Elephas maximus indicus: one gene and its partners. The protein of the gene in region 1 purifies or fractionates together with the protein of each later gene. This does not show direct contact. Links are inferred from orthologs where the notes say so. Each region holds a gene or a part of one and is shown in the gene's direction. Other genes may lie near its edges. The genes, in order: ZRANB1, MAP4K4, STRN3 and CTTNBP2.

What was found.
Region 2: the proteins of ZRANB1 (region 1) and MAP4K4 purify together in Homo sapiens (affinity purification with mass spectrometry; 3 studies listed by BioGRID and IntAct, with this or other methods). This does not show direct contact. The link is inferred for Elephas maximus indicus from reciprocal best matches to the Homo sapiens genes ZRANB1 and MAP4K4.
Region 3: the proteins of ZRANB1 (region 1) and STRN3 purify together in Homo sapiens (affinity purification with mass spectrometry; 4 studies listed by BioGRID and IntAct, with this or other methods). This does not show direct contact. The link is inferred for Elephas maximus indicus from reciprocal best matches to the Homo sapiens genes ZRANB1 and STRN3.
Region 4: the proteins of ZRANB1 (region 1) and CTTNBP2 purify together in Homo sapiens (affinity purification with mass spectrometry; 3 studies listed by BioGRID and IntAct, with this or other methods). This does not show direct contact. The link is inferred for Elephas maximus indicus from reciprocal best matches to the Homo sapiens genes ZRANB1 and CTTNBP2.

Annotation. Positions count from the first base shown.
Region 1 is NC_064834.1:74,981,808-74,988,707, forward strand, and holds the start of ZRANB1 (ubiquitin thioesterase ZRANB1), read left to right. Parts: upstream 1-3,882; 5' UTR 3,883-3,966; intron 3,967-6,900. UniProt on the Homo sapiens protein: Ubiquitin thioesterase, which specifically hydrolyzes 'Lys-29'-linked and 'Lys-33'-linked diubiquitin. Also cleaves 'Lys-63'-linked chains, but with 40-fold less efficiency compared to 'Lys-29'-linked ones.
Region 2 is NC_064835.1:84,134,892-84,142,773, reverse strand, and holds the start of MAP4K4 (mitogen-activated protein kinase kinase kinase kinase 4), read left to right. Parts: upstream 1-4,862; 5' UTR 4,863-5,021; coding exon 5,022-5,078; intron 5,079-5,410; coding exon 5,411-5,476; intron 5,477-7,882.
Region 3 is NC_064828.1:43,486,224-43,493,783, reverse strand, and holds the start of STRN3 (striatin-3), read left to right. Parts: upstream 1-4,550; 5' UTR 4,551-4,804; coding exon 4,805-5,086; intron 5,087-5,204; exon of another isoform or gene 5,205-5,512; intron 5,513-7,560. UniProt on the Homo sapiens protein: Calmodulin-binding scaffolding protein which is the center of the striatin-interacting phosphatase and kinase (STRIPAK) complexes.
Region 4 is NC_064826.1:31,757,626-31,764,837, forward strand, and holds the start of CTTNBP2 (cortactin-binding protein 2), read left to right. Parts: upstream 1-4,202; 5' UTR 4,203-4,290; coding exon 4,291-4,398; intron 4,399-7,212. UniProt on the Homo sapiens protein: Regulates the dendritic spine distribution of CTTN/cortactin in hippocampal neurons, and thus controls dendritic spinogenesis and dendritic spine maintenance.

The DNA of each region.
Region 1 (6,900 bases):
TACTACTCTTTTTTTCTCCTTGGATAGTTCTTCTTTTCCTTTCCTACTCCTGGCTTAAGTGGTAACTTGTGCATAGCTAACTCCCTGATGTTTATCTCCAGCTTTAGCCATCACATTTCAGGCCAGCATTTCCCCTGCCTGCTGCACATTTCCCTCTGAGTGATGGGCCAGGATCTCCACATACCTGATCCAGTAGACAGCATCTCCTATCTAGTTCCTCTTTCTCTTCATGTTTCCCACTGTTAATGGCACCGTTCACATTCAGAGGTCTCTGACTTTTGATTCTTTCTTCTGGCCCCAATTCAGGTACTGGCAAGCCTTGAACATCCACACTCTTTCACCTCTGTCCCTTCCTTCCCATCCCCACAGCTACTTTGGCTTAGGTCCTTGTCTCCTAATTGGTTTCTCTATTTCCCTATTCTGTTTTTACCCTCTTTTGTCCCACAGACATTCCAGATTAAGATATAGCTCTAATATTGGTGTTTCCATTTCTATTAATGGAATTAAGTACAGATCCACAATTTTGCATTGAAGTATTCGCAGTCAGTCAGAAAATGTAAAGTATAATGGTATCTTCTAAAGGTAGTTTGGGAAACAGCTGAAATAAAAGACAGAACTAAATGTCAACAAAATTATACTGTCCCTACACTTCGGTAGAGGTTCTCAGAAAAAGACTTAAAAACTGGATATGTTTTTCCAAATGAATTTTTTTTATAACTCATTGAGAAAGGTGGTTCAATCTCTATGAGAAACAGCAGGATCAGTTCCTTAACTATGACAATGCTATCTGCTGTTGTGTTAGATATGAAGCGCTGCTCTAACAGAAATAGCACAAGTGGATGGCTTTAACAAACAGAAGTTTATTTCCTCAGTTTAGGCGGCTAGAAGTCAGAATTCAGGGCACTAACTCCCAGGGAAGGCTTTCTCTCTCTGTCAGTTCTGGGGATAGGTCCTTGTCATCGATCTTCCCCTGGTGTAGGAGCTTCTCAGCACAGGGACCCTGGGTCCAAATGAGACGAGACGCACTCTACTCTCAGCGCTTCTTGGTTGGTGGTAATGTGGTCCCTCTCCTCTCTGCTTGATTCTTTTATATCTCAAAAGAGGTTGACTCAAGATACAACCTAATCTTGTAGATTAAGTCTTGCCTCGTTAACATAACTGCCTCTAATCCTGCCTCATTAATATCGTAGAGGTTAGGATTTACAACACATGGGATAACCACATCAGATCACAAAATGGTGGACCATCACACAACACTGGGAATCATGGCCTAGCCAAGTTGACCTACATTTTTGGGGGACACAATTCAATCCACAAATGCTGTATTTGTTCACATCTTTTTAACAGATATGGTGTTATGGGAAGAACATTTGATTGGGGAATCAAGAACTCTGGGTTCTAATTCCATACGTAGTTGGTCTGGCTTTTGACAACTCTCTTAATTTAGGCACTACTTTGCACATCTGCAATACATGGAGGGTGGTGGGCGAGTAGGACAACATAAGTAGTTCTCAATTCTGGCTGTACATTGTAGCCACATGGTACGTAAAACATACCCATGTCCAGTCCCTCCTCTTAGAGACGGTTTCAATAGGTCTGGTGTTGGGCCCCAACATTCGTATTTTTAAGAAACTCCTCAAGGTATTCTGATGTGTAGCCAAGGCTGAGAACCACTGGACTGATATTAAGAGTCTTTTCAGCTTGAACAATTCATAAAATACCACCTTCTTTATTAGAGCCATTTTTTGTATTTGCTCTTCCTCTCAGTTACATGATAATTTTCATTTGAATTTACATGGTGCTTTGCACATTCTGCCTTATATAATGATAACTATGGTTGTTTTTGTCTTCTTTCCTATGTCTGTTTCCTCAAACACAGAACGTGTCTTACTCATCTTTGTGGGCTTCCTGTTCCTTGGCACATGGTAGGTACTTATTATGCTAGGTAAACTACAATTCAAACTAAACAAGAACAAACACCTAATTTGGTGACGTGTCTACTTATTAACTTGGAGGTAGATGCTCTTTATCCTTGATTCAAGAAGCGGGAACTGGAGGTACTCAGAGGCCCTCAATGGAGATATTTTCAAGTGAAATATTGGTTGAAGCATTGTGATGAAATATTGGTTGAACCATTCTTCTTGCATAATGACTTAGTGATTTTATATCTAATTGTTAGTTACATATTCAAGAATGTGGGTTAAGTTTTACAACAGACGAGATTGTTGTAGTTCAAACTCAATGTATTGAAGAGCCATTAAGCAAAGTATTTTGCTGTTATGTACTTCAGATTTGACCACGATGAAGAGGATTATGGAAAATCTGTCACAGGAATGGCTGTGAAGATAAAATATACCAATGGTTATGAAATGTTGGTGAGAGGAAGCTATAAAGGGTTCTTAATTGCCATAGTGAAGCTGTACATACATCCTTTAACATATCTATGCAAAGAGAAACTCAGAACACCAGGGATAATTTTACTCGATAAATCCCCATCTAATTTTTAAAAATCTGAGTAAATGCTGAATAACACTGTCTCCTAGTGAAGCTGAGGTGTCCAAATGTGACTGCTAAATGCCCTTTGAAAGTGCTATAGCTTTTCTTCATCAGATAACTTGAAAGAGATTTACAACTCTTAAAGAGTTCCTGTGTTTTATGGGCTTCCGAATTCTTCATAGAAATAAAATTTGAAGTATGAGAAATGAAAGGTGACACCTCAATGGGAAAAACTAAGCTCTCTGGCTAGAAAAAAATTGACTCATGGAATTTTAACAGATAGCTGACTCATTTAGACTATTTTTACGGTAAAAAAGAAATATACAAAATATATCGCCATATAATATATTCTATTTAGAATCTGGGCTTTGGGGACTCTCAGGGCAGTATTTTTTCCATGGCTGTCATTTATCCTCGGCCTTAAGGAATATCTCCAATTTACAGAAAAGGCAGCCATGAGAAAGTTGTATTTACCCAACATTAGGACCAGCATATGGCGGAGGAGAGCGAGAACCCAGGGTCTCCATAGCTTTTCCTCATATATTTATGTATATATGTAATATAGGTGTATATGGAGATAAATACATATACACAAAATATGTACAAATTAGATATATAAAAATTACACTATCACAAACAACCAAAACGTTTGTCTTCTGTGGTGTCTTATCGAGAAACTGCATATGAAGAGGTTAAGCAGAACAGAAAGTTCCTCAGGAGACGTGAGACTTGGGCGGTAAAAGTTTGGTGAATTTGTTTGCAGAAGAGAAGGGGAAGAGTTCGAAGAAAGACAAGTGCGCCTCGAGACGCCCGCCCCACAAGGTGCTGTGAGGCGCCGTCGGTCTCCGTTTGCCTCCGCGGGGCGTCCTCCACCTCGGCCAGCGCGCGCTACCCTCATCTCCGCGGTTGCCGCCCAGGGGCCGCGATGTGGGGGCGCGCGCCGCAGCCTCACAATCCGGGCCCGGCGCCGGCGTGATGTCACGCCTCTGCGGCCCTCCTTCTGCGTCCGGAAAGAGGCGGCCTCCCATTGGCTGCGTCGCCGGCGGCCTCGGGCCAATGGCAGGGCGGCAAGCGGCGGGGTCGGCCCTGACGTCTGCCGCTCGCCGCGGGGTTTATTTGGCTCCGGGTCCCCTCTGTCGCCGCCATTAAGAGCCCGCAGCGCCCGTGGCCGCCCCCCCCTCTCTCCCCCCTCCCCCCGGCGCCCCCCCGCCTGCGCGCCTCCTCTCCGCCCCTCTCCCCCCGCCTCCGGCAGCCCGGAGCCGCGCGCCGCCCGCGGAGACCATGTCCTGACTGAGGGGAGAGGGCGGAGGCGGCAGCAGCGGGGCGGGCGGCGGCACGGAGGGAGGCGGAGAGGGGCCGGGCTCCGCTCGTCGCCGCGGGCGGCTCGGGGAGTCGCCGCCGCCACCGGGCGCCGAGCGTCGGACAGGGAGGAGGAGCAGGAGCTGGAGGAGGAGCCGCCGCCGCCACCAGGTAACCGGGCCCAGGAGGGGCGCCCCGCCGCAGGCCCCCGCGGCCTGACCGGCCTCCCGCTCCCAGGTGGGCCCAGGCCGCGGGGTCTCTCGGCCGCCCGCCCGCCCGCCCGCCCGGCGCCCCCCGGGGCGGCGGCGTTGCAGGCGACGGCGGGGAGCGGGGGCCTGCCGCGCAAACCCCGTCGGGCCCGGGTCTGCCGCCGGCCGGGCTTCCATCTTTTGGGCTTTCCCGGGGCGAGGAGAGGTCGGGGGCTCCGGGAGGGCGGGCCCGCTTGTTTACCAACGATCGATCAGCCGCAGCTGGACGCGTTGCCGGCCCTGCCACCGTCTTCCGCCGGATTTTCCCCCAACTTCTCTTCCTGCCTGATCCGAGTCTGTGATGGGGTTTCGCTCCCGCTCTGCAATAGGCCATAAATACTTGGGTTCATCGCCACAAGTTGGTGCTGGCCTCCAAACTTGGATTTCAGTCTCTTGGCCGCTTCCTCTCTGTCTCCTGCGGTGGCCCCAGTTGTTGCCATTTCTGTCTAAGAAATCAAGGTCGGGGGGCAAAGGTTGGGGGAGAGGAGAAAGAGCTGGAACTGTGGACAGATGATCTGCCCGCCTCGCTCTCGGTAACTCTCGTTCGGTGCAAGTAGCTGTTGTTTTCTGTGGGGCTTGCGTGGGTCATTTCATAGACAAAAGGACTGTAATGAATACTTGCACTAAGTACAAGGGACTGGCAGTTTAGGTTAAACCTGGAAGTTGGAACTGGCCCACTATCTTTGAGGTTCACTGATGTTTTCTTAACTCTTGCTGAGAATTTTGAGTTTCAGTCTCACTCCCTTTGTCCATAAGTCTGCAGACTTTCAGGTTAAAGGCTGCTCTCCCCAGTATTTTGGTCTGTTTGTTCACCGTATGATCCACGGTATTGTCATTATAAATCTGATGTACAAAAATGTTGTTTTAGAGCCACAGCTGAAGAGACACCTTTAACTTCCGGAAATACTCCGTAAGGAGTGCTTCTGGTACTTGTAGGTCTCCCTTTTTTAGACGGTGTCCTAATCACTCGTGCAACCTCGAGGTACCTCTGTTTTGATCAAACATAGATGACTCAGTGAGTAACCCATAAGCCAGGGAAAACCATAAGGAATTTTGATCTTGGCTTGCGCCAAGGGCTGAGAGCACGTCATCTAAGATGTGTTTGTGAAAAATAAAACTGGATCTCTCTTCTTGGTTGTTATTTTTAATTAAATTAGGTAGTTCTGAACACATTTAGAACTCTGCTCCCCTGTTGATTTTTGGGTCTTATGACAAGGTGTGCAGTTTCCTTCTTACTATAAAAGTGCATCACGTTGTTTTTATTGGGCTATTAGGAGGGGGCTAAAACTAGTAAGACGGTAATGACACATTTTCATCTTTTGGGAAGGCTGTCATTTGAATGTCATGAAAGATTTTTATTTCTGTTGCTCATGTTTGAGCACCTTTTATTACAGCCTTAGAGTATTGGGACACCCGTTTATTTACTCTTGAAATGAACTCGGGTTAGTATGAAGAACTCATTCATGATATAATATGTGTTAAGCTCACGGCCTTGATCCAGACCTGTACACTGATGGGGTTCTGGCACAGCCCGTTTAAAGTCTGAGGGTTAACAGAGCTTTGGAACTCAGGGTCCAGTGGTACAACGTTTGAGGTAAGTTGCTTCATGTGCGTAATTGATAGAGTGAGAGCTTCTCCAGGTGCTTTATACTTATACTACTTTTATAATAAATGTAAATAAACAAGAGTTGTAGACCACCATAATTTTTTATTTAACTTCTTGGGTCACTTTTACTATTTAAGCATTGCTGCTCACACCCACCCCCACCCCAATAATATCCTTTTGTACCTGGCCTAGAACACTTTTTTCCATTGATGTGATGTTTTATTAGGAATATTTGTGCTCCACTTATTCTTCGCATAAAATAGTGTCTTGCACATTTTAATATTGTCCCCTCCTCACATCACGGTATAAAGACTTCCAGAAAACTCCTTATTACATGGAAAATAAAGCTCAGTTTCCCCGGCATGGTCAAGATCCTCCAGAATCTAGCCCTGATCAGTGCTTCAGTCTTAATGCCATTTCTCCCCTTGGTGGATCCTTGGTTTGTTTTTCCTGTGAAGTCTCTCCCCTCAGCTTTTCTTTATGCTGTTCTGTCTGTTTGGAATCGTCTTCCTCTTGTATTCATGGATACTCTCTGTACTCTGAGCCCAGGTAGGGCCTGTCTCTTGAGGAGCCTTTTTAACTACTTCAACCCCAAGGGATCTACTGTTCCCTCCTCTGTTGTGCAGGATGGTTTTCTTCCTTCTTGTCCTAGCACTGCTAGCCTGGATTTCAGTTGCTTTTATTGTTTTTATTCTGCTTCCCAATTGGACTTTTAAGACTTGAGAAATGGGTTTGAGCCCTGTGCCTTGTGTGTATGGGGAGCATATATTCAGCTCTGACAATTTGGACTCGTGCTCTGACAGTGACCGGTGATGGTTATAGTGGTATTCTAGGATATAGACTTTGTACTCCTCCAAGTATTGGAGTTTCTGGGACTGTGACAATTTCTGAGACAAAAATATTTGAAATTATGGCTGTCTTTGAAAAAACAAAATACTTGATTAGCATGTTTATGCCTATTGCCAACATGGTTCCCAGCCTGTAGAGGATGGTCAGCATTTTGATAATGATCTCATCTTATTTAAATAAAAATAAGTACCGTAATTCTGTGGTTTACTTCGGATTTGAGTCTGGGGCAGTTACTTGGGTTCATTTGAGATCGGCACCAGTGACAGCAAGGGGGACCATTTCCTACTTGTATATAGGTAACGTTTAGCATCACATGAAGGAGAAATCACCTGTAGCTTCAGTTTGGATCCTTAACTTCGGATGTTGGCAGCATGTGTCATTGATCATAAGGCAGATGAGACT
Region 2 (7,882 bases), on another chromosome or scaffold:
ATTTCGTGCTTGTAATTTTACGTTAAAGAAGATTAGGGTTGGATTGTAACACCCTTACTAAGGTCACATCCCTAAAGGGAGTTTCCCTGAAGTGTGGCCTGCACCATCTTTTATCTTACAAGAGATAAAAGGAAAGGGAAGCAAGCAGAGAGTGGGGACCTCATACTACCAAGAAAGCTGTGCCGGGAGCAGAGCGTGTCCTTTGGATCCAGGGTTCCCGCAAGGAGAAGCTCCTAGTCCAGGAGAAGATTGATGACAAGGACCTTCCTCCAGAGCCGACAGAGAAAGCCTTCCCCTGGAGCTGATATCCTGAATTTGGACTTTTAGCCTACTAGACTGTGAGGGAATAAATTTCTCTTTGTTGAAGCTATCCACTTGTGGTATTTCTGTTACTGAAGCACTAGATGACTAAGACAGTGACCTCATATAGAACAGAACAAAACATCGCCCGGTCCTGCACCATACTTACAATCGCTGGTATGTTTGAGGCCACTGCTGTGACTTTTGTGTCTGCCCATCGGATGGAAGGTTTCCCTCTTTCCCTGGCCCTCTACTTTACCAAGCACGAAGTCTTTTCCTAGTGATCTGTCTTTCCTGATGATGTGTCCAAAGTAGGCAAGAAGAAGTTGGAGTCGATTCAATGGCAACTGGTTTTATTTTGGGAAATATTTACTACCCAACTCTGACCCTGGGAGCTCAAGGCTTAATTTATTATTTACACATTAGAGTCTCACCGCCTTAGTCATCTAGTGCTGCTATAACAGAAATACCACAAGTGGATGGCTTTAATAAAGAGAAGTTTATTTCCTCACAGTAAAGTAGGCTACAAATCCAAATTCAAGGCGTCAGCTCCAGGGGAAGGCTTTCTCTCTCTGCCGGCTCTGGAAGAAGGTCCTTGTCCTCGATCTTCCCCTGGTCGAGAAGCTTCTCAGGAGCAGGGACCCCAGGACCAAAGGACGTGCTCTGCTCCTAGTGCTGCTTCCTTGGTGGTATGAGGTCCCCAACTCTCTGCTTGCTTCCCTTTCCTTTCATTTCTTGAGAGAGAAAAGGTGGTACAGGCCACATCCCAGGGAAACTCCCTTTACATTGGATCAAGGATGTGGCCTAAGTAAGGGCAGTGTTACAATCCCACCCTAACCCTCTCAACATAAACCTACAGTCACAAAATGGAGAACAACCACACAATACTGGGAATCATGGCCTAACAAAGTTGATACACACCTTTTTTTGGGGTGACATCATTCAATCCATGACACTCACATAAATAGATTCAATCTGAAAATAAAGCCCGTTGCTGTCGAGTTAATTCCGACTCATAGGGACCCTACAGGACAGAATAGAACTGTCCCCATAGGATTTTCAATGAGTGGCTGGTGGATTCGAACTGCCGACCTTTTGGTTAGCAGCCTATCTCTTAGCCACTGCACCACCAAGGCACCATGTCTTCAAATAGACCCTTGAGGGTAAGGCCATGAATCAAGCCAACTTCCTGGAAGCATGTATTGAACATGGCTGTTGACTGAAAACATGGCTCCTACTTTTAGAGAACTGAGTGGCGTTGGGAGCTGGGCAGATAAAAATTAACTAGCTTTAAAACGGGTCCAAAACCAAACCTGACATTCCTTTGCCACCGCCATGTGGCAATTCTCTTTCCTCTGTACTAATAGCCTCCTCCCAAGTGTGAACAAGGCTTGAAACCACACACAAAAAATCTTTTACCTCCTGTCTACACTGTCTTCTGACTATCCTGTCAGATGCCAAAGTTTAGAGAGTCTTGTATTTCCTGTCACCAGGCTTTATTACCTGGGCCTGGGAGCCTGCAATGGCCCCTAACTGGCCTTTTTACCTCCAGTCTTCATCCAGTATATAGAAGAGGAAACAGAGGGTCAGAAATTAAGCAACATGTCCAAGAACTAGGGTTGAAACCCATTTTGGTTTTGCCCCAAATCCAGCATACTTCTCATTAGACCTGTTTAGTGTCCTTTCCATGTTGCCAGAATTTACAATGTTCTTTTATGACAGCTCTTTATGAAACTGTCTTATGCCAATTTTCAGACTGTAAGATCTTTGCGGGTAGGCTATCTTAATCTTCCTTATATACCGGGCCATGGCTAAGCCAGTTCCTTCCACTTAGTAGGTGCTTCAAGAATAGGTACTGAACTGAAAGTGGGAAATAATGCACAATGGTGATATACAAAGCTGCAGTTTCTGAGTTGGGCTTGAGGTGACGGAGGGTATTTGGATAGGCAGGGAGGAAGGGGTTGGTCTATGGTGAGCCTCAATGAAATGTGGCTATAAACCTGTGGCGGGAGGATGGCCTGGGAGGGCCTCGTGTTATTGTCTAGGGTCCAACTCTGCACATAGAGCAAGTTTGTCTTCAGACCTTGATTTCCTAATGGGCAAATCAGGAAAACCAACAGTACCTACCACTTGGAGTTACTGTGAAGAACAATGGGATAATACATGTAAAGGATTTAGCATATCCAATACATGCTATCTGTCATCAATAATAAAGCCAAAAAAACCAAACCTGTTGCCGTCCATTCTGACTCATGGCGACCCCACGTGTTGCAGAGCAGAACTGCACTCCATAGGGTTTTCAAGTCTGTGACCTTCTGGAAGCAGATCACCAAGCCTTTCTTTGGCGTCACTTCTAGGTGAGTTTGAAGAGCCACTTGGTAGGTGCCATGGAGTTGGTTTGCAGAGAGACCCCATGTGACGGAGTAGAACTGTGCCGTGAGGTCTTTTAGGCTATAGTTCTTACCAGAGCAAATCACCAGGTCTTTCTCCTGAGGGGCTGCTGGGCGGGTTTGAACTGCCAACCTTTTAGATAGCAGTTGAATTCTTAACCATTGCGTCACCAGGGTTCCTTATTAAATTGGGTACTGTATGTAAATCAGTAAACATTATCAGGGGCACAGCAAGCGCCTAAGAACTGGTAGATACTAGATAATCATGGTGCTGTTTGTGAAGCCCTGTTATGAAGGGCCTCAGATATTCATCCTGTGAGGCAGCTATTCGCAAAGTGTGATCACTGTGACAGCAAAACAACCGTCATTCCAGAACCTGTTCAAAAACAGCAACACAACACAACAACAACAACAAACCGCTGTGGTCTAGTCAATTCGGACTCACAGCCACCCTACAGGACAGAGCAGAACTGCCCCATAGGGTTTCCAAGGAGCAATGGGTGGGTTCCAACTGCAGACCTTTTGGCAAGCCACTGAAGGCTTAGCCGCTGCGTCACCAGGGCTCCTGAGAACCTGTTACAAAGGTAAATTCCTGGGGCTCTCCTCAGACCTATGTGGCAGTTCTACTCTGTCCTAGAGGGTCGCTACGAGTCGGAATGGACCAGACAGCAATGGCTTACCTCAGACCTACAGAATCCAAGTTGAGGTACCGCCCTGCAATCCATGCTTTTACACCCCCCACCCCGGCTGGTGCTGACGCCCTCTCAAGTTTGACAACACCTGCTGTAAGTTAACAGGGAACAACTGAAAAATTCTGGACAGTGGAGGGAGGCAATGAAGATGGCCCTTGAACACATACACCCAAACAGGCCTTTCTTCCACGCAGGCACTGGGTGGGTTCCAGCCCCCAACCTTTAGGTTAGCAGCCAATCCCAAGCCACTTACTCCACCCAGAGAGAGATCTTATATTCTCGGTTGATGAAACTCCGTAACTACTGACTAGTATCCAGGTTGCAAGAGGAAGCCCATTTGTTGATCGTAGTGATGTGTAGGCTCAAAACATGGCTTAGTATTTATGGCCCCAAACACAGTGCTCACCCACGGGGCGAAGTAAGGGGCGCGGCACCAGGCCATTACAAGAGCTGTTGTGGATTCGGCTACTGAGTCTCTTGGGGCCGGGCAGCCAAGTGATGCTCGCCTAATCCCGCAGCTACAACCCTGTCACACACTTATCCTGGAACAGAAAATAAAGGAAGAGAAAACCATGTAGGGAAACCGGAAATGAGGGTCTCAAAGGTATCCTAAGTGGTGCTGGAGGCAGCAGGGAAGAAAAGCGGGTGAGGAGAAAGAGAGGACCCTCTTCCGCTTGGATACATCCCCTCTCGCGTCCCCTTCGATCCGGGGCGCGGCCGGCCCAGCAGGGCGGGACACACCCTCTCCCTGAGAGACGGCGGGTTCGTCTGCCTCTCGGCGTCTGGGTCCGAGTTTGTTTCTTTGATTTATTGTTTGTGCGAGGTAGGGGCGTTTCCTTACTCTTAGCACCTTCCTGGGGACAGCACGGCCCCTTTCATCCCTGCGCTCCCGACCCCCCGGCTCTGGCCGTTTTGGAGGGCACCGAGGGGGTCGGGCTCGGAGGCCCCACCCGGGCGCCGGCTACCGGGTCTGGGCCGGCGGCCCGGCCATTGTTCCGGCCCCACCCCTGCTGAATATTCACGCGCCGGGCGGCGGGCGGCGCGCCCCGCGCCTCCGCCAGCAGGTCTCAGGGTGCGAGTGCGCTTCCGCCCGTTTTTCCTGCCGGGGAAGGAGAGGGGGAGCTGTTTGCGCTCCGCTCCGAATATATTTTCGGTGTCCCGTTTCCCCTCCTCCCGCGCGGCCGCCGCCGCCTCCTCCCTCCCTCCCTCCCCCCCTCCCCGCCCCCGCCCCGCCCCCGCCCCCGCCCCCCGGCTTATCTTTGTCTCGGCCTCGCGCTGCCTGCTCCACTCTCGGCGCCGCCGCGGCCCACGTTCCGTACGGCGGCGGCCTGGATGCGCGCGGCGCGCGGCGCGGGCTGCGGGGCCTGAGCGCGGCGACGCCCGGGCCGCTGGCGCGCCATGGTGTGAGCGCCGCCGCCGCCCCGCGCACGCTCCGTCCGCTCCTCGGCGCGCGGCCCGGGGCCGGCGAGAGCCGCGAGCGGGGCCGAGCCCGCGCCGCCGCCCGCCTGCCCGCCCCCGGCCGGCGAAGAGGCGTCCCGGCCGCCCGCTCCCCGTGCGAGCAGGCGCCGTGGCGCCCCGGCCTCGGCCGACGGCACGCAGACACAGATAGCTGTTCTATTTGGGAGGCAAAAAAGGGAAAATGGCGAACGACTCCCCTGCAAAAAGTCTGGTGGACATCGACCTCTCCTCGCTGCGGGTGAGTGGCCGCGGCGGGGCGGCGGGGCGGCGGGGCGGCGGGGCGGGGGCCGCGCCCCGGGCCGGCCGGGCGCTCGGGCGCCGCCGCGGGCAGAGCCGCGGGCGCGGCGGCTCCTTTGTCTGCCTGTGTCGGCATGTGCGGGGACGCGGGGCGCCGCCAATGCGCCCGGTGCCGCCCGCGCCCGCTGCCGGAGGCGCGGCCCTGGGCGCGGGGACCGGGGCGCGGGGCGAGGGGACCGGCGCGGGCGCAGCCGCCCTCTCCGCAGCGGGCCAGCGTCCTTTATTCCTTTTTGTTTCTTTTCAATTGTAACCCCTCCCCTCCTTCCTCTCCAGGATCCCGCTGGGATTTTTGAGCTGGTGGAAGTGGTCGGAAATGGCACCTATGGACAAGTCTATAAGGTCGGTGTGGGGCGCCTTCTTTGTTTCCCGTGGCGTGCTGAAACTTCGCGTTGGGAGACGAGGAAAAGGGCGATAAACACGCTCTGACTGGAGGCCACGCCACTTGGCCGAAGTTCGGAAAGGGCTTTCGCTTGGCAGCGTCTCTGTTTTTAAGCAGTTTATATTCAGATTGTATTCTGTCACAGGAGGTCGCTATGAGTCGAAAATGGACTCGCCGGCACCCAACAACCGCCCCAGCCACATCCCGATTAGCCTTAAAAGACCTCGTTTCCTGGCTTTGACAGAAAGAAATAAACTACACCCTTAGGCAAGCACTTTTGTGAGAAAGTGGAAAAACGTTTTTCATAAAGCGACCTTAAGTTTTTTTTTTCTTCCCAAACCCGGCCTTCTGAATGTGTTTGTTAATTAAAACTCACAAAAGGCCGGCCTTGCTCATGATTCTTAAATCAGTGCCTTGGCCTTCTCGAGAATGGTCATCATGTTTCCTCGTTTGAGCGCTGGCCAGGTGCTCAAGGTGGGGAGTTTGGTGCTAACTGGGACGCCTTTGTAACTCTCGTCTGTGGTCCACGCTACTGATGGATACGTATTTTGGGGAAGGGAGGGGTGTGCGTTTGGGCAACAGGAGCAGGAAGAATTACAGTGTGAAGATTATAAAATCGGAATTCCAGGAATAACCTGTTTGACAGGTGTGCAATGGGAAGAGGGAGAGCAAGGGGTAAGGAGGATGCCTGGTTTCACACCCATTCCAGGTTTTTCTCTTTTTTGCCGCCCCCCCCCCCCCCCCCCCCGCCGCCGGTAAATGCAGTGAACAAATCTGGAGACTGTATAAATCTGCGATGAGTAGCTGACACCTGTGTGACTAACAGTGTTCTCATTTTATCCAGTGTGCATACTAAAGGTTATGAAGAGCTGCAGGTAATGGATGGGCAAGGCCTTGGAAATAGAAAAAAAACAATAGATTCTTCCTGCCCTGTTTTGTTTCTTAAGATGTTCTAAAAGTCATCTGTATTGGAGTAGTTTTCTAGCTGTTGGAGTGGGTGCAGAGTAGGGTTAGAAAATGCCTTAGGAAGCAAGGGTTTCTGTTTTCACCATGGAGAGTTGTCATTGTCTCATTCACAAAGCGGAGAGGCGCTGGGATACTTGGAGGCTGCCCATAGATGTTTTCTTAGGCCAGGTTAAGTGTGGATCCTATTGTGTCTTACTGCTTTATTGAGAGAGTTTGCCTGTCCTTTGAACGCCCCTCCCCTACCCCAGCTTAGCCTGGCCTGGGCAGTGTACAGGCCTGGGGTCTGAACTTGAGGCAGTATTTCTAGGTGATCGCAAGTGAAATTAGCATGTGTTTTGTTGGTTAACTGTTGGGGCCGGGGCCAGATTTTTGAATTTGAAAGGGAGCCCTGTTAACTCAGGCTGCTGGGCTCAACTGAATTTGGAAGTGTTTGGAAAATTTTGGATGAGATTGTGTTGCAACTCGCTGAGTGGCTTGGTAACTGGCTTTTAAAGACATTCTCCGGAGCCCCAGTGTTTGTGTAAGCAGCAGCCAGTTTTTTCTAACCCAGTTTTTCTGGCCAAATCTAAGTGGTGAGTGCGCTCCTCCGAGTGAGGTGGCCAGAGCTTGTTTTTGACCTGGTTATATAGTGGTGGGATTGTTTGTGTCTTACTCGGTCAGTGTCTGTGCTGAGTGCAGCAGAGTAAGCTGAAGGCGTTAGTCAGCTTTTAAATTATAAGGAAAAAAGAAATGAATCCAAGTGTTAACTGGTTGTAAGAGGTGGAAGCCCTGTCTGGTAACAGTTTGGACAAGGACATTGTTTTCTCCCCTCCTTATTTCCCCTTTGCACACCCCCCCCCCCAACCATGCAAAAGCTTTTGAAGTAGAAATGCCTACCATGACATTGGGAAGTGTTGGGATATCCATAATGACACAGCCTGCTTTCTGACTACGAAGTCTGTACAGTGGAGGAGAAATTTTTCTGAATATGCAAGCGTAAGGAATTAAGAAATCTGTGCAATAGTGGCATACAATCCAGAACAAAATATCGCTTAGGATTTTGGTCACAAGCAGTTACATTTTTTATTATTACGATGGAAATTTTCAGACATACTCAAGTGGAATAAAGCACCCAACTTAACAGTTGTCAGCGCGTAACTAACGTAGTTGCATCTGTATTCCTCTTTCTGCCGTTACCTTACGGAAATCCCAGCTAGCTTGTCATTTCATCCATAAATTCTTCAGTATGTCTCTCTCTCTCTCTTTTTTTTTTTTTAACCTACTCACAAAGCCATTATCCCACCTAAAAAATTAATTCCTTAATGTCAGATATCCAGTGTTCACATTGTCCTGATTATCTCATGAATGTTTTCTTAATTGTCACTACTGAAAAACCAAACCCACTGCTGTCGAGTTGATTC
Region 3 (7,560 bases), on another chromosome or scaffold:
TTCCTAAATGCTTTGGTGTCTGTGTTTCTATAATCTGTGAAGGTCCTTTTGTTTTCTACATAATATATTATTTGAATGGCTCAAGTTCCCTGCATGTATTTCTACAATTTTCTTAGCCATAGGCAATCACTTTAATGAGAACTGGATATTTGATCGTATCTGGCACATTAACAAACCATGGTGCAAGTCCAAGCTGCCTCCTCCTTTTCTGTTCCATCTGCATTATACACTTGACTCTCTTGCCAACTCTTCTCAAAGATCTTCCTCTGGGTTCTACTATTTGTTTGCTCTTTGACTATGTTCACAAACACTACAACAGCCTGAAACTACCTAAAAATGATTCCAAATGTGCAAATGATTTGGGAATATGAGACAGTAATAATGAGCCCATTGATGGGACAGTAGGAGGCAGAATAGTGAAGGGAGAGTGTCTTTATTTCCAAATACACATACATACTCACTGATCTAAGAATGGGAACAGTTTCCTATTCTATTAAGGGTTTGCTGAAGTGACTGAGAACTCTTATCTCAGCTTTTCCTTCACCCCAAGGAGATAAGAATACTTATCATAACCCTTGCAGATTATGCAAAAAGATGAATAGATTAATGTTTATAAACCAGTTTAAAGTCTTTGGTAGAAGGATGCCAGCAAGGTACAAAAACTGGGTATACAGGTGAGTACTTACAGGGAGCTATACAGTTTCCAGAAGCAGGCTCAAAACTCTTTACATCAGGTACTGGAATAATTGGTAAGAAAGCGTCTGAGTGTTAACTACTTATTTAAAAGCCTGGAATTCCTTAACATACCTTTGCTAATATATGTATATGAAATATGACAAATCTGTTTTTTAGTCAAAAATAGAATAAGCAGACAGGTGTCTAAGGAAAAAAAACCCTTTAAAGTCTAAACTGATGAAAGCTATGGCAGGCATTCTTGAAGATCATTAGCTGTAGGCTGAAACTGGGAGAGTCTAATGGGAATAGAAGAGGGATGAATAAGGACTGATGAAAGGACAGAACAAACAAGTTTCAATGGTGAGGCTGAAAAGAGGAAATGACTCAGACACAGTTTAGGGAGGGAGTTCCAGTTAGGTGAGTTGTAGGTGACAATGTGACCCGGGAGTGCTCACTGCCAAAAGAACAAGATTGTAGGAGCTCACAGCAGAGTGTTCCAGCTATCTCTATAAAATTTTCTCCAGAGGAGAAAACCTTGGTGTCCTTTGCTTTTAAATACTCAGGAAAGTTCCAGTCACTGAACAATAAGATATAGCTGATGTAACTGTAGCAAAAGCTAATAAAAATGAACAAGGTGAAGGGAAAATGTTCATATTAGTCTAGTCTAAATTTAGTTTATCCATCAAACATTTCTTGAGGATGTACACTGTACCAGGCACTGGGAGCTGTGAACAAGGGACGCATGGGCACTGCCCTTGAGAATTCTGCAATCTTGCCGATCAATGGCTGAGGACCCTACCGTCTGGGAACCACATGGCCAGGGATTGTATTGTTGACATTTATAAAACCATGGTTAAAGTTTGTCTTTTTGGTTCACAGTGGATCACCAGGAACTAAGAGAGTATCTGAAAAATGTAGCCAATCAAATAGCTTTTTCATAGTGAAGCAAAGATTTATTGAGCACCCACTACGTGCTAGGTCGTGCTTTCAAAGAGTTTGGCATGAGTGCCACTGACAAGTACATTGATGATTTAAATAAAAAAACAGTTGCCTTGAGTGGAGAACTGAGCTCCATAGGGTTTTCAGGTGATTTTTCAGGTGATCACCAGGTCTTTCTTCTGAGGTGCCTCTGAGTGGACTCAAACCACCAACCCTTCAGTTAGCAGCTGAGCACCTTAATGGTAACCATTTACACCACCCAGGGACTCTGATAATTTACATAAAGTGTAATAAATATTAAGATAAGAGGTAACCATGGGATGCTATTAGGATCCCAAAACATCAATGCCATCAACTAGACTGTAATTCACGGATCTGCAAGGTGTCTTGGAGGAAGTACCGCTTGAGCTGAGTTTTAAAGGAAGAAGGGAAAGAAAGGCAATAAGGCACATCATGTGTTAAATCACTGTGGAATGAAGCAGCATTATACCTTTGAGGAACCAAAAACTGTAAAAGTTGGCTGGAGAGAAGAGTGAGATAGAGTAGGTTGATGAAATGATGGTAGATTGGAATCTAGGGAGGATTTAGAATCTGAAGAACCTCTATACGCTAAACTAAAATTTATCCTAAAAGCTTTGGTGGTCACTAAAATATTTTAAGTAGGGGAATGACAGGATTATATTTACCTTCTAGGAAGATCACTCAGCAGCAGTAGCGGTTGGTGGAGCAACTGTGGAAGTTGGAAGATTTAAATTAAGGTGTGAATGGAGACAATGGAATAGAACGAAAGGTATTGCTGAGAAAGGGATTAGATGTGGGGGCTGAATGAAAGAAAGGCAAAGGAACGGCTTTTAGGCTTCAGACTTGGATGCAGAGCCACATATGAAGCTAAGAAATAGAAGAGGAGCAGAGACTTTGGTTTTGTTTTTGAGGGTGGGGAGAAGAAAAGAGGAATTATAGGTTCAGTCTTTGAGCTTGAGGTTGTTGTTAGCTATTGAGTTGGCCCCCAACTCATGGAAAATCTATGCACCCTCGTGATATACAGTTTTCATTGGCTGATTTTCTGGAAGTAGATCACCAGGCCTTTTTTCCTAGTCTGCCTTAGTCTGGAAGCTCCACTGAAACCTGTTCAGTACCATAGCAACACAAATGCCTCCACTGACAAGATGGGTGGTGGCTGCACTTGAGGTGTATTGGCCAAGCATCGAACTCAGCATAGAAGGTAAAAATTCTACCACTGCTGAGTTTGAGGTGCTTTTCTTTTTTTATAGGAAATATAAGTGTGTATGCTCCTTTTCTTTGACGCTAACATCTTGGAAGTCAACCACACCCTCTCACAAAAGTTTCTTAGTGTGTATAGGTCTTGAAGCAGCATAGTATTTCTTAACTTTTTATGTGCTATGAGGCACCCCCCCCCCCCCAAATAATAGGATTGAATAAGCAAGTTTATGCTGGTCGCTATAAAATGGAGAAATAGTACTTTAATAATACAGGGAAATAGTTTTTAACAGTGCTGTGATCTAAGACCTCATTTCATATATAAAAATAACATGGCAGCCTGGTGAACAAGTCCAATCAACTCTCCATTAAACTGTAAGAACAGTAAAGCAGTCATGCTAAAATAAACTGTACTACTTTATCTCTTGGAAATTAAATCCTGAGTGAAGTGTATATACTCCATAGTGAAAATTTTATTGCCTTGTAGAGAGGAAAAAGTCTAAAAAATGCAACCAATTTCAGATGAAGATTTCCCGCATAGCTGTAGTTATGGAACGCCTTTTCCTTATTACAGTTGTTAAATGTTAACTTTCTTCTATTTTGCAACCAAATGGTTATTAGCTACATGTTTTTAAAAACTCACTAGTTCATGTTCCTTGGGAAACTAAGTGCATAAAAATACACACTACGGTGGTAAAAAACAAATCTTGCCTTTTATGTGTATATTCTCTCAAATATTTAGTGGCCTTGGGAAAACATTTTCCCCTTTCATCTAGGATTTTAAGTTGTATTCATGATGCCTTTATTTTCTATTCGGATTGAAATATTCTGTCATTAATAGCAATATTTATAAGAAGGAACTTATTTACTTCAAAAACGTCAAATTGTTAAAAGACTAACCAGTCTCCTTCAAAGTTATCTTCTTCCTTCCACCCACCATCAAGATCTAAAGGATTTCAGTGCCTCCCCTTAAGAAAAATAAAAACAAAAATAATCTTTCCACCCCCCTCCCAAGCCCCCAAAACACAACTCCCTACGAAAGAACAGGGAAGGCAAAGTGGAACAAACTGCGACGAGCGACCGGGCGCACAAAAGTGGGACAATAAAAGCTCGGGCTCGAGGCGAAGACGGGGAGTCCAGTCACTACGTCCGTAACGACCTAGGCTCTTTGCGAAAAGAATGCGTCCCCAAAGCTCGGGGAACTGACCGCTGCTAAGAAACCATAGAAACAGCGAGTGACAAGTAGAGAAAAAGGCCCGATCCTCTGGGACTGCCAGAAACACGCAAGGAATGCAAAAGAAACGTCAGGAATCCGGGACGGGCTGCGGTCGGCCGGCCACCGCGACCGGCCCGGTTAAAGCAGAGATCCGAAGCAGACCACGCGGCCCAGACCCTTGGGTGGGGAACGACACTGGAAGGCTGCCCGCTCCAGGGAAACTGATAACCTCAAGCACCCGGGCCGACCGGCTCTCAAACACCGAAGTCCTCGCCTCGGCGTCGGGACCCGGACATCCGGAGAGGGGCTGGGGGCGGGCCTAGAGGCGGGTCCCGAGCCCCTTCCCCGCCCCCTAACTGCGAAGCTCAATGAGCTCCCAGAGCGCCTGCGTAGGGTGAGGCCGGACTCTATTTGGCTATTTGGAGTGAGGCGGCAGCGGCGTACTCTACCCGGCATGCAACGCGGGAGCGACGGCCCTACGTCTACCCTCTTCCCAGCCCTGCCCTCTCTTCCCCCTCCCGCCACGGCCCCCCCTCCCCTAATGTGAGTGACTGAGACTGGCAGATGGAGGTGGGACTGTAATGGCGGCGGCCGGCAGCTCCTTGCTCTGACCCACGGCAAGCACACTGCAACGACCCCCTCCCCGCCCCTCTCCTGGCCGGCCTCCGCCCCGTCACCAGCGCGGGGCTACCCTCCCCGGCCCTTCCCCCAGCTGTCGGCGTTTCGCCCTGCGCCCCGGCCGGGGCCCCACACACAATGGACGAGCTCGCTGGAGGCGGTGGTGGCGGCCCGGGGATGGCGGCACTTCCCCGGCAGCAGCAGGGACCTGGGGGGAACATGAACCTTTCGCCGGGGGGGAATGGAGCGGCGGGCGGCGGGGGTCCTCCGACCGCCGAGGGAGCGGGCCCCGCGGCAGGCCCTGAGCTGTCCCGGCCGCAGCAGTACACTATTCCGGGGATACTGCACTACATCCAGCACGAGTGGGCTCGGTTCGAGATGGAGCGGGCGCACTGGGAGGTGGAGCGGGCCGAACTGCAGGTACCTCGTTGGGGACAGTGTGCGGGGCAGCTGCGGCGGCGGGGATCTCGGCCCGGGGGTGGGGCCGGGACTCCTCTCAGCCGGAGCCTGCGGCCTCGGGAAGCCGAGAGGAACCTACCTGTGCGGCTCGGGGGCGACGGTTCTGGCGACAGCTCCTCCTGAGTCCCCCTCCCTCTTTCCCGCAGAAGCTTGCTCCCCAGCCCTCAGTGGCTGCGCGGTGCGGGCTTCCTCGGGGCAGCCATTTTGGCTTTTAGTATGGCGTCTGCGGGGGCCCCTCCGGAGGCGGCCTTCCCGGGCCTCCGGGGCTTGGAGCCCAGATACTCTTAAGAGTTCGGCGTGGGGCTGCTGGGCACTGTGTTGCTCTCACTTGTCTCTCTTGAGGTGGAGAACCCGAGGAAGGGGACTGAGAAGGGCATTTTACCACCTTTTTCAGGACACCCCCTTCCGATTTGGCTTGTCTGACCCCCTCCCCCGACTTGGTACGCACTTGACCCTTGACAGCCACGCTTTTTTTCTGGGCTGCTACCGTACACAATGGCTTGAGGCTTACCTGTGAAGTTTTAATTTCATACCTGTCAACTGTAAGTGCCTTATTACCTGGGACGTTGCATGACTGAGTTGGATCTTTTGTAGTTCTTCCTTACTTAGTGACTCATCAACGCTTACTATTCTCAAAACTGAATTTTTCTTTTTAGAGTGCCCTTAACCAGACACCTCCCCTTTACCCATAAAAAAAAGCCACACCAAACTATCTGTGCTGTATTTATGAAAGGCCGAGAAAAGATTTAGTATTAGCTTGAAGTAAAAAGTACTTATATTACTAACTCACCTCAGGGAAGCACAGTTAAATGTCCTCAGAACCCATTACCCTCATAATTGAGCCAGACTCATTCCTCTTAAGGTGAGCCTTTGGATGCACTAGGGTGTGTTAACCTAACTTTTGGAAAGGGTTGGTAGCTTCAGGGCTCGTGTCTTGGATTTAAAAATTACTCCATCTTTTTGAAAGGATTGTTCAACTTTTTGGGATATTTGTGTTTGTTTTTAAATTCCTTTTCAGGCAAAAGTAGGCTTAGAAGAAAAAAGTTTCCACCTAAATAGTGCTGCACCTGTTCTTCAAACTGGTATATATTTAGGATGTAAGCAGTGTTGTTTACTGACATATATGCCATATATGCCCACGATGAAGAGTTAGGAAAACATGGTGTTGAAAGATGGAAGATTGGAATAACTTTTAAAGAGTGTCTCAGATATGAATCTCTTCAGTTTGATTTTGAACTTGTAAACTTTTTATTTGACTCCTCAAAGTGGATAAAGTTAATTTTTTTTAAAAAAGTAAGAATAGTAATATGTTTTGACACTTTTTTATCATATCTTGAACAAATTCATTACAGACTAACACCTGTTAGTTCAGTGTTTTAGAATTGTGTTTTGATAAACTATCGGGCTTTTAACTTTCAAAGAGCTTAAGTCAGAATTATTTATTGTTTCTTTTAACTTGAGTAAACCCTGGTGGTGTAGTGGTTAAGTGCTTTGGCTGCTAACCAAAATGTTGGCAGTTCGAATCCACCCAGTGCTCCTTGGAAACTCTATGGGGGTAGTTCTTTTCTGTCCTATAGGGTCGCTATGAGTTGGAATTGACTTGACGGCAATGGTTTTCTTTATAGTCTCCTTTAAAATACTTGTGATTTATAGAGCGCTCTTAGTATGAAAATTTCTACTACACCATGCTTTAAACAAATTTAGTTTTCTCTGTGGATAGAGTGAGGTTTATAAACCATTTTTAAAAATTTATAAGTTGTACTTACAAACGCATTGAGGCATCTGGTCACTGAATAACACTTGACCGGTCCCTGATGCAGTGTTTGTAACTTTTGCGTTGTTGTATGCACGTTTGGATTTTAACAATTTCCAAGTTCGCAATTGTATTAGTCACTCATAATCTTTGTTAATGTAAGTAGCTGGGAAAATATCTTACTTGTATGTCTAAATTAATAAAATAGTGAATCCTTTACTATCTGCTGTAGCCCTTCCACTTCTTTCCTTAACAGCAAAAACAAAAATCCTTTAAGGGAGATTTCTGTTGCTTGAATTCTTCCTGGATTTCTTTCAGTTAACCTACTATTAGTACTTTAGTTCTGATATAGCCATCTTAAGTTTTGTTTATTTGTTTTGAAGAAGTTTTACAGTATTTACAGACTGTAAATTTTTTTCAAGGGTTTTTATTATTTCACAGATTCATTTGGAATAAAATGTTCATGATTGTGTTTATCTGTTCTTGTGCTATATATTTCCCTAAAATGTTTTGCTGGATTACTTAACAGGGTTTCAGGTGTGTTTCTAGTATATTGAATTTGCTTTAGATGCCTTAAGATTGTTTGTGAGATCCATATTTAAAAATACATATGTTGGATGAAAAGTTTATGAGAGGGTTTAAGTGAAGCATCAGTGGATTTTAATTGTAAACAAACCCATTT
Region 4 (7,212 bases), on another chromosome or scaffold:
TTTCTGTTTATTTAGCTGTTTAACGAAGCTTCAAAAGATTTAATTCCTGGAGCCATCAAATCAGTACCCTTGCAGATCTGTTTGGTTCGACTCTAATAGAGCCTGTCTTTGTGCAAAGAATGTCTTTCACAAAGAGTTAATTTGCAATCTCAACAGAGATTAATTCTCAGGAGGGAATTTAAACTTGGAGTGTCCCAGGGGAGAAGCAGCTTCAAGGTTGGGCTATTCTGTGAGGGAGTTAACTCCTTATGCGCTGCTTCTGAGCAATGAGGCCAGCTGCTCAGTCAACACCCGGCAACAGTGGCAGCTTTAAGGTAGAAACAAATACTGTTTATTCTCCTTCCCAGGTCCTGGATTTTGGCAGTAGGAAAATATGCTATTCTGTGATTTTTTTTCACCTGTTTATTTTTCATTTCACACACACACACACAAAAGGCGGTGGGGTGGGGGAGAGGGGAAAGAATTCACTCAGGGATCTACTTGATTATGACTTGATTGTATTTTGATTGTATTTAGACTTACATTGTTAGGTGCCATCGAGTGGATTTGCCCCACAGAGTTTTCTAGGCTGTAATCTTTAAGGTAGAAGATGGCCAGGGCTTTCCACCTGCAGAGCGCAGAACGGCTGGCTAGTGGGTTGGAACCAAAGACCTTTTTGTTAGCCACCAAGCACTTAACCATTGCACCACCAGAGCTCCTTATTTTGACTAATAAACAAAAAACCAAACCTGTTGTTAGACTCATAGCGACCCTATAGGACAGAGTAGAACTGCCCCAAAGCGTTTCCAAGGAGCAGCTGGTGGATTCAAACTGCAGATCTTTTGGTTAGCAGCTAAGCTCTTAACTACTGGGTCACTGCAGAAGCTATTTATTCACAACATTTTTTTTTTTTTTAAATTGATCTGCATGTATAAAATAAACGGGATTTGCTTCACAGAGAAATTATCATGTCATATTCCTAGTGCTTAAACCTAAGTGAAATTTGTTATTTTATTCCCCAGTGGTGAGCCAGTTAATTTCTTAATTTAATGCCAATATTAAGGAAATTTATTGCCTTGTGATGTGTGAAAATGCATTTTGAAAAGAACAAGGAATACTTTTGTTCCAACTTTAAATTTTACTATCAACATCTAGCTTTTTTTTTTTTTTAACTTATAGGTTTATTTTTCTTACATAACAAGAATTCTAGAACTAAGCGACTTCTGGAGTCCCTTTAGCTGTTCCATGATGCCACAGGCTATATCTGTTTGGCTCCACCATCTTTAACATTGCCTTTTTTTAATCTCCATGTCTGTTGCCTCTGGTTGCAAGTTGGTTACTGCGCATTTAGGCATCACATCCACATTTTAGGCAGGAAGAATGGGAAAGGTGAAGGGTAAAGCCAGCTGCCTCTCCTTTTTATCATATGCAATGATTTTCAACACCAGATTTATCGTATCTTCAATTTACAAATATTCTTGGTTTCATTTCTTGACCATTTATTTAGTTCATCTGAAGCAAATATTAGTTTTAATTATTGTAGCTTTATAATGTATTTTGATGTCTATTTAAAGCAATTCTTTTGTCCTTTTTTGAGTATTTTTAGAATTTTTGAATTGTACTTTAGATGAAGGTTTACAGAGCAGATTCTCATTAAACAATTAATACACATATTGTTTTGTGACATTGGTTGCCAACCCCGTGACATGTCAACACTCTCCCCTTCTCAACTTTGGGTTCCCCATTATCAAGTCTCCTGTCTCCTCCTGCCTTCTCATCCTCGCTCCCGGGTTGGTGTGCCCATTTAGTCTCATTTTATGTGCCTGTCTATCTAAACTTTGGCTGAAGGGTGAGCCTCATGAGTGACTTCATAACTGAGCTATAAGGGTTTCAGGGGGCCATACTTTAGGGGCTTCTCCAGTCTCTGTCAAACCAGTAAGTCTGTTCTTTTTTGTGTGTGTGTGAGTTAGAATTTAGTTCTATGTTTTTCTCCAGTTCTATCAGAGACTATTGTGATCACTGTCAGAGCAGTTGGTGGTGGTAGCTGGGCAACATCTGCTTGTGCTAAACTCAGTCTGGTGGAGGCTATGGTAGTTGTCGTCCATTAGTTCTTCGGACTAATCTTTTCCCTTGTGTCTTTGGTTTTCTTCATTCTCCCTTGCTCCAACAGGAGCATGCTTTTAAGACTCCAGATGCTACTCACCAAAGTAGAACGTAGAACATTTCCTTTGTAAACTATGTTATGCCAATTGAGCTAGATGTTCCCCAAGACCATGGTCCCCACAGCCCTCAGCCCAGCAATTCAGTCCCTCAGGAAGTTTGGATGTGCCCATGGAGCTTCCATGACCTTGCCTCATACAAGCTGTGTTGTGTACTGTCTTACCCTTCTCCAAAGTTAACTACTTATCTATTGTCTATTTGGTGTTTTTCCATCCCCCACTCCTCCCCTCCCCCATAACCATCAAAGATTGTTTCTTTTTGTGTGTAAACCTTATGATTTTTTAGAGTAATGGTCTCAGACAATATTTGTCCTTTTGTAATTGACTTATTTCACTCAGCATAAATGCCCTCCGGATTCACCCATGTTGTGAGATCAGGGTCCAACTTTTATTGTCAAATGCTTTGCTTTCATCTTGTAAGTAGCTTGATTATTCTAATATTGAGTAATTTCAGAGAGAATAGTTGATAAAAGAAAACAGTGTAATGAACGGGAATGGACACTAAAGAACTAAGAAAGGGGGTAGCTGTGAGAGTAAAGTCAAAGAAAATAAATCAACCAGCACCTCTGCTTACAGGATAACTCAGAGGTGACTTCCAGGCCTCTGACCCTTAACCCCAGGATTCCAGGTGAAAGTTCTCTCTTGATGTAGCTGTCTTCTGGGAGAGAACTTTCCACAGTTAACCCATAGACTGATTTTTAAATTAAAGGGAAGCTAGGTAGAAGAATGGTATTTGTCATTATAATTGTTGCTTATCTAATGATTTAAATCAACCCCATTCAGGGTCTTCAAAGGAAAGATTTTCTCTGTCCTGATTTGTGTCTTATTTGGATCCAGTTTTGAAAATGGAGCAATTAAAGTGCCAAAACCTTTCATTAGGAGTCTGCCATTTAAAAAAATGAGCTTTTATCTGTAGCCCTTGAATTGAACATTCCATGTCATTCGTCTTCCTGAATTTCAAGTTTAGGATTTGGTTTTCGCTTCATTTTACGTCCTTGAGACACAGTTTGAATGCTGCGACTTGATTTTGTGCTTTCAAGACAGTTTTAGGGATCTGGTGATTTGAGAAGGGCTGGTACCATATGGTCTTGAGAAGGTGATAGATTTTCACATCCTGGGAACTGGCAGAAAAGGGTAGGAACTGAATCAGATGAAAGGAAGGGAAAATAGAGTTTGAGCCTAAGTCACTCATCTCATGAAAAACCTGAGACCTATAATTCCCATGAAGTCAATTTTTAAAAGGATTTTTTTAGTACGTGTACTTGCGTATTCTTACTTGCGTATTCTCTCTGAAAGTAGAGAGCTTCCTTTTAAAAGAGATGACATTTAACACTTCTTGGTTAGTCCTTTAGAAAAGACTTCAGTCATGGAGTCAAAGAACAGCAATGGGCCCCGCGCCACCCTCCCTGAAAAGGAGATTTTACAGAAAGATGAGAACTGAGGGACTGGGGCACAATGTAATAAAAGCGGACACATTATTCATTTTGATTTGTGAATTTAGTTAATGGTTTTCGTAGAAGGAAGGGGTAAAAGCACCCTGGCAGCAGTGTTGAAAAACCAAAAAACCTGGAATTTAAGAAAAAAGAAAAGAGTATCTTATGTCCTTCCTAGCGGTGGGATAGATGGGCATGGAGCGAAGGGTTTCCTTGATCTTACAGAAAATTAAGATTTAGGAAGCCCGACATTTCATCCGGTCTCTCCAGGGTCGGCTTCGTGGGGCTTGGCCGGTCGTATCACATCTTGAGCTCTTTCTCTCCTTCATCTCGCCCGGTGTCTTTCGGATTCCCCCATCTGCGGGAAGGACCAGCCCCGGGCCCGGGCTTGTGCCCTCTTCTCGGACCTCGACGCACCGGATGGCCCAGGGGCTGGGCGAGGCGGCGGGCGGCGCGGCCCCCCGGGGGCGGGCGCCCGGGCGCGCGGGCCCCGGCGCGCAGCGGGTTAAGGCGGCGGGGGCGGCGGGAGGGAGGCGGAGCGCGGCCGGGCCCGAACGCCGCGCCGCCGGCCAGCAGCGGGTTAAGTGCCGCCCGCGCGGAGAGGGCTGAGCCGGGCGCCGCCGCTTCGAGCTCGCATTCGGATCCGCTAGCGCAGGAAGATGGCGACGGACGGCGCGAGCTGCGAACCCGACTTCTCCCGCGCCTCGGAGGACGCGGCGGAGGCTACGGCGGAGGCTACGGCGGAGGCAGCGGTAACCGAGTTCCCGGTGCGGGCGCGCTGCGAGTGTAGACGCGGGCCCAGGCGCAGCTCCAAGTCCCCTGGGCGCTCCGCAGTCCGGGCCCCCTGGGGGCGCCCCCTCCTCAAGCTGCCCCACGGCCGGAGGCCGCCCAAGCTGGGGACGCCTCCTGCCCGTTCCGAGTCTCCAGGGAAATAGCACCGGCCTCCGGGTTCTTGGCGCTCCATGCGTGCGCCCCGCCCTCCTCGCGACCCCGACGCCGGTGCCGCGGTGGTCGGGTTTGGCCTGGGGGTGTTTGCTGGCGAACTTGACCCCCCATTGTTCGCCTCTAGCTGCACGCGTGGCTGTGAGCGTGCGTCTCGGGGTGCCTGGCACGTCTCAGCAGACCTAGGAAACAGCGAGGGGGGGTGCGGGTCGCCGCCGAGCAGGTGTGGGGATGCCTATTGTGTGTCTGTGCGCCTTTGGGGGGCCCCTGGGGAGGGACCGGTGCCCAGCTGTGGGCGCTGTCGCCGCGAAGCGCCGGCGACTTTGGTCTTAGCAGCCCCCTCACTGGGGAGGCGGGGGGTCATCGCGTTCTTCCGAGGCGATGCCCGGGCGAGGTGGAGGGTCATCACCGAGTATCATAGACATTGTTCTCCTTCGCTGGGTTCTAGACGCCAAATGCGCTACCATCCATCCCTGGTCCCCACTTTCAATCCCTAAATATTCCTGTGCACAGAAACTCGCTGGTGGGTTCCAGCCCCTACCTGGGGGAGGGTTGGTTCCCCGTCCAGGGTGGAAAATGTGCTCAGGGTTTGAGAAGCGGCTTCGCTGGAGCTGCGAGGATCTGCAAAGAAAGGCGGTCCCGGGAGCGCCTCCCACCCTTGGCCCACTCCCGCTGGAGACCGCGGTGGGATAGAGTGAGCCGAGGGTGGACGCCCCCTCCGGCCTTGCCACTACCCGATCGGAGTCGGTGCGCGAGCAGCAGAGGGCAGGGCCAGGCGTAAACAGCCAGGGCTGCTTTAACTTCCTCCTCCTCCCTGGGTTTGGAGGTAGGGCTTTTGGAGAGGGAGAGATGGGGAGGAAGGTACTTGGGGGTGAGAGGAGCTGAGCTTGGGAAGGAATAGAGAAAGAGGGGGTGGAGGGGGGAGAAAAACGGAGGAGGAGGGCTGTTGATTTGCACTTGTGAAACTGGCAAGTTTTGATTTGCAGCTTTTAGGAAAATTTATTTTGTTTTTTCATTTCTTGCGTGGAAAATGAGAACTTAAGATTTCAAGTGAAACCTGCCCACTTGTGATACTGTGAATCCCCCCGCCCCCCGCGAGGTACAATAAGGAAGCTAGCTGTTAAGGCAAGCCTCTCTGGGAAGTTTAAATGATTGGGTGTCTTCCTCCCCAGGAGATGATGACGAGAGGCACTGACTGGGAGGAGAAAGAAAGAGGTCTTGTGTGTGTTTCTTGTTCCCCAGGAAGGTTACATTTGTATGTTTAATTTGTTTAGAATGGGCCTTTTTTCTACTGCCCTCAGTGTTTTAATCACCTCCTTACAATTAAACCAAACACAAACATCTGGTTTATGGTCTGTAGCTGATGATGTAGTTTTATTTGGTTAGACTGTAGAGAGTCTTGGTCGTGGGGCAGATTTCGTGTTAACAAGGTCAGGGTTCCGTCTCTGCTGTGTAAAATTTTCAGAAGTCTGATTCTCACTACTGAACTTCGGGGATTTGATCATTCACCTGTGATAATGGGAACAGCCATGGAAAATAGGAAAGCCGACCTCTTGTTATTTCCACAGAATCCTTTAGGGTCCCAAGATGCAATAAGGATTCTTAATATAGTAGCTTTTTTAAACTTTTGGCTGTTTAGTAAAATTTTGACAGTGACTTCTTAGGCTGTAAACTGACCATTTTATTTTTTCCAAAAAGCTTTGACTTCGTAAGGTAGGATCCTGTCCTATCAGCCACTTTGACCTATAGGCTGATTTTTACATTAAAGAAAAGCTGGGTAGAGGCATGGTATTTGTTATTATAACTGCTCCTTACCTAATGATTAAAAATCAAAGGCATTTTTATGCATCTTGGGGTTTTGGCAACTGATGGCTTAAAACAATTTTTGGGTATTTTTAGTGAACAATTCTTTTTTTTGGTATTTTAGCGATTTGATTCATTTCAAATCTGCTTGTATATTCATTTTTATATATACATTTGGCAATAACGAGCCAATGGAACCTCCAAAGCAGTAGGCTATTTTTGAAAGTGAGTGTTTTCACTAAGTTTTGACTATTTAGATTGTTGCTTAGAAACAAGTTTAATTTATAGTTTCATAGTTTTCAGTTTAATATGATTTTTAGTGACATGTTTTAAATTTAGTTTGTGGTCCTCGTTCTTAGCTGTTTAAATCCTGAAGGCATCCCAAGTGTAAAGCTACATTATTCAGTAGGCTCATATAAATAGTCTTTGCTATGAACCATGCTGGGAGACCTGGGTTATTTTCAGTGCCTTAGCCAAATGTGATGACTTTTATAGGCCATATTGCTATTTCTACTCTGAAAATAAGCCCTAATGGATAAGGCAGTATGGAAAACAGAAATCTTCCTGCTTTTTATTGTCATCAGGGAATTTTGGAGTGAAAGGAAAATGGAGGTCTTTTTAGAGCTGTGTTTGGGAAGCCAACCAACATTCTTGCCATTCTGGGTTTTCTGGGGCAGTTAATATGCAAAAAGTAGGAATAAATTTTGTCACGGTGATTGTGACAAGGAAAAACTTGGACAGTGATTTTTGTTAAAAATATGCAACAGCGATGTTAAAATAACAGCTGGCACTTTGAAATTTTTGTTTTCCAGGTGACAGTATTAAATGTAAATGCA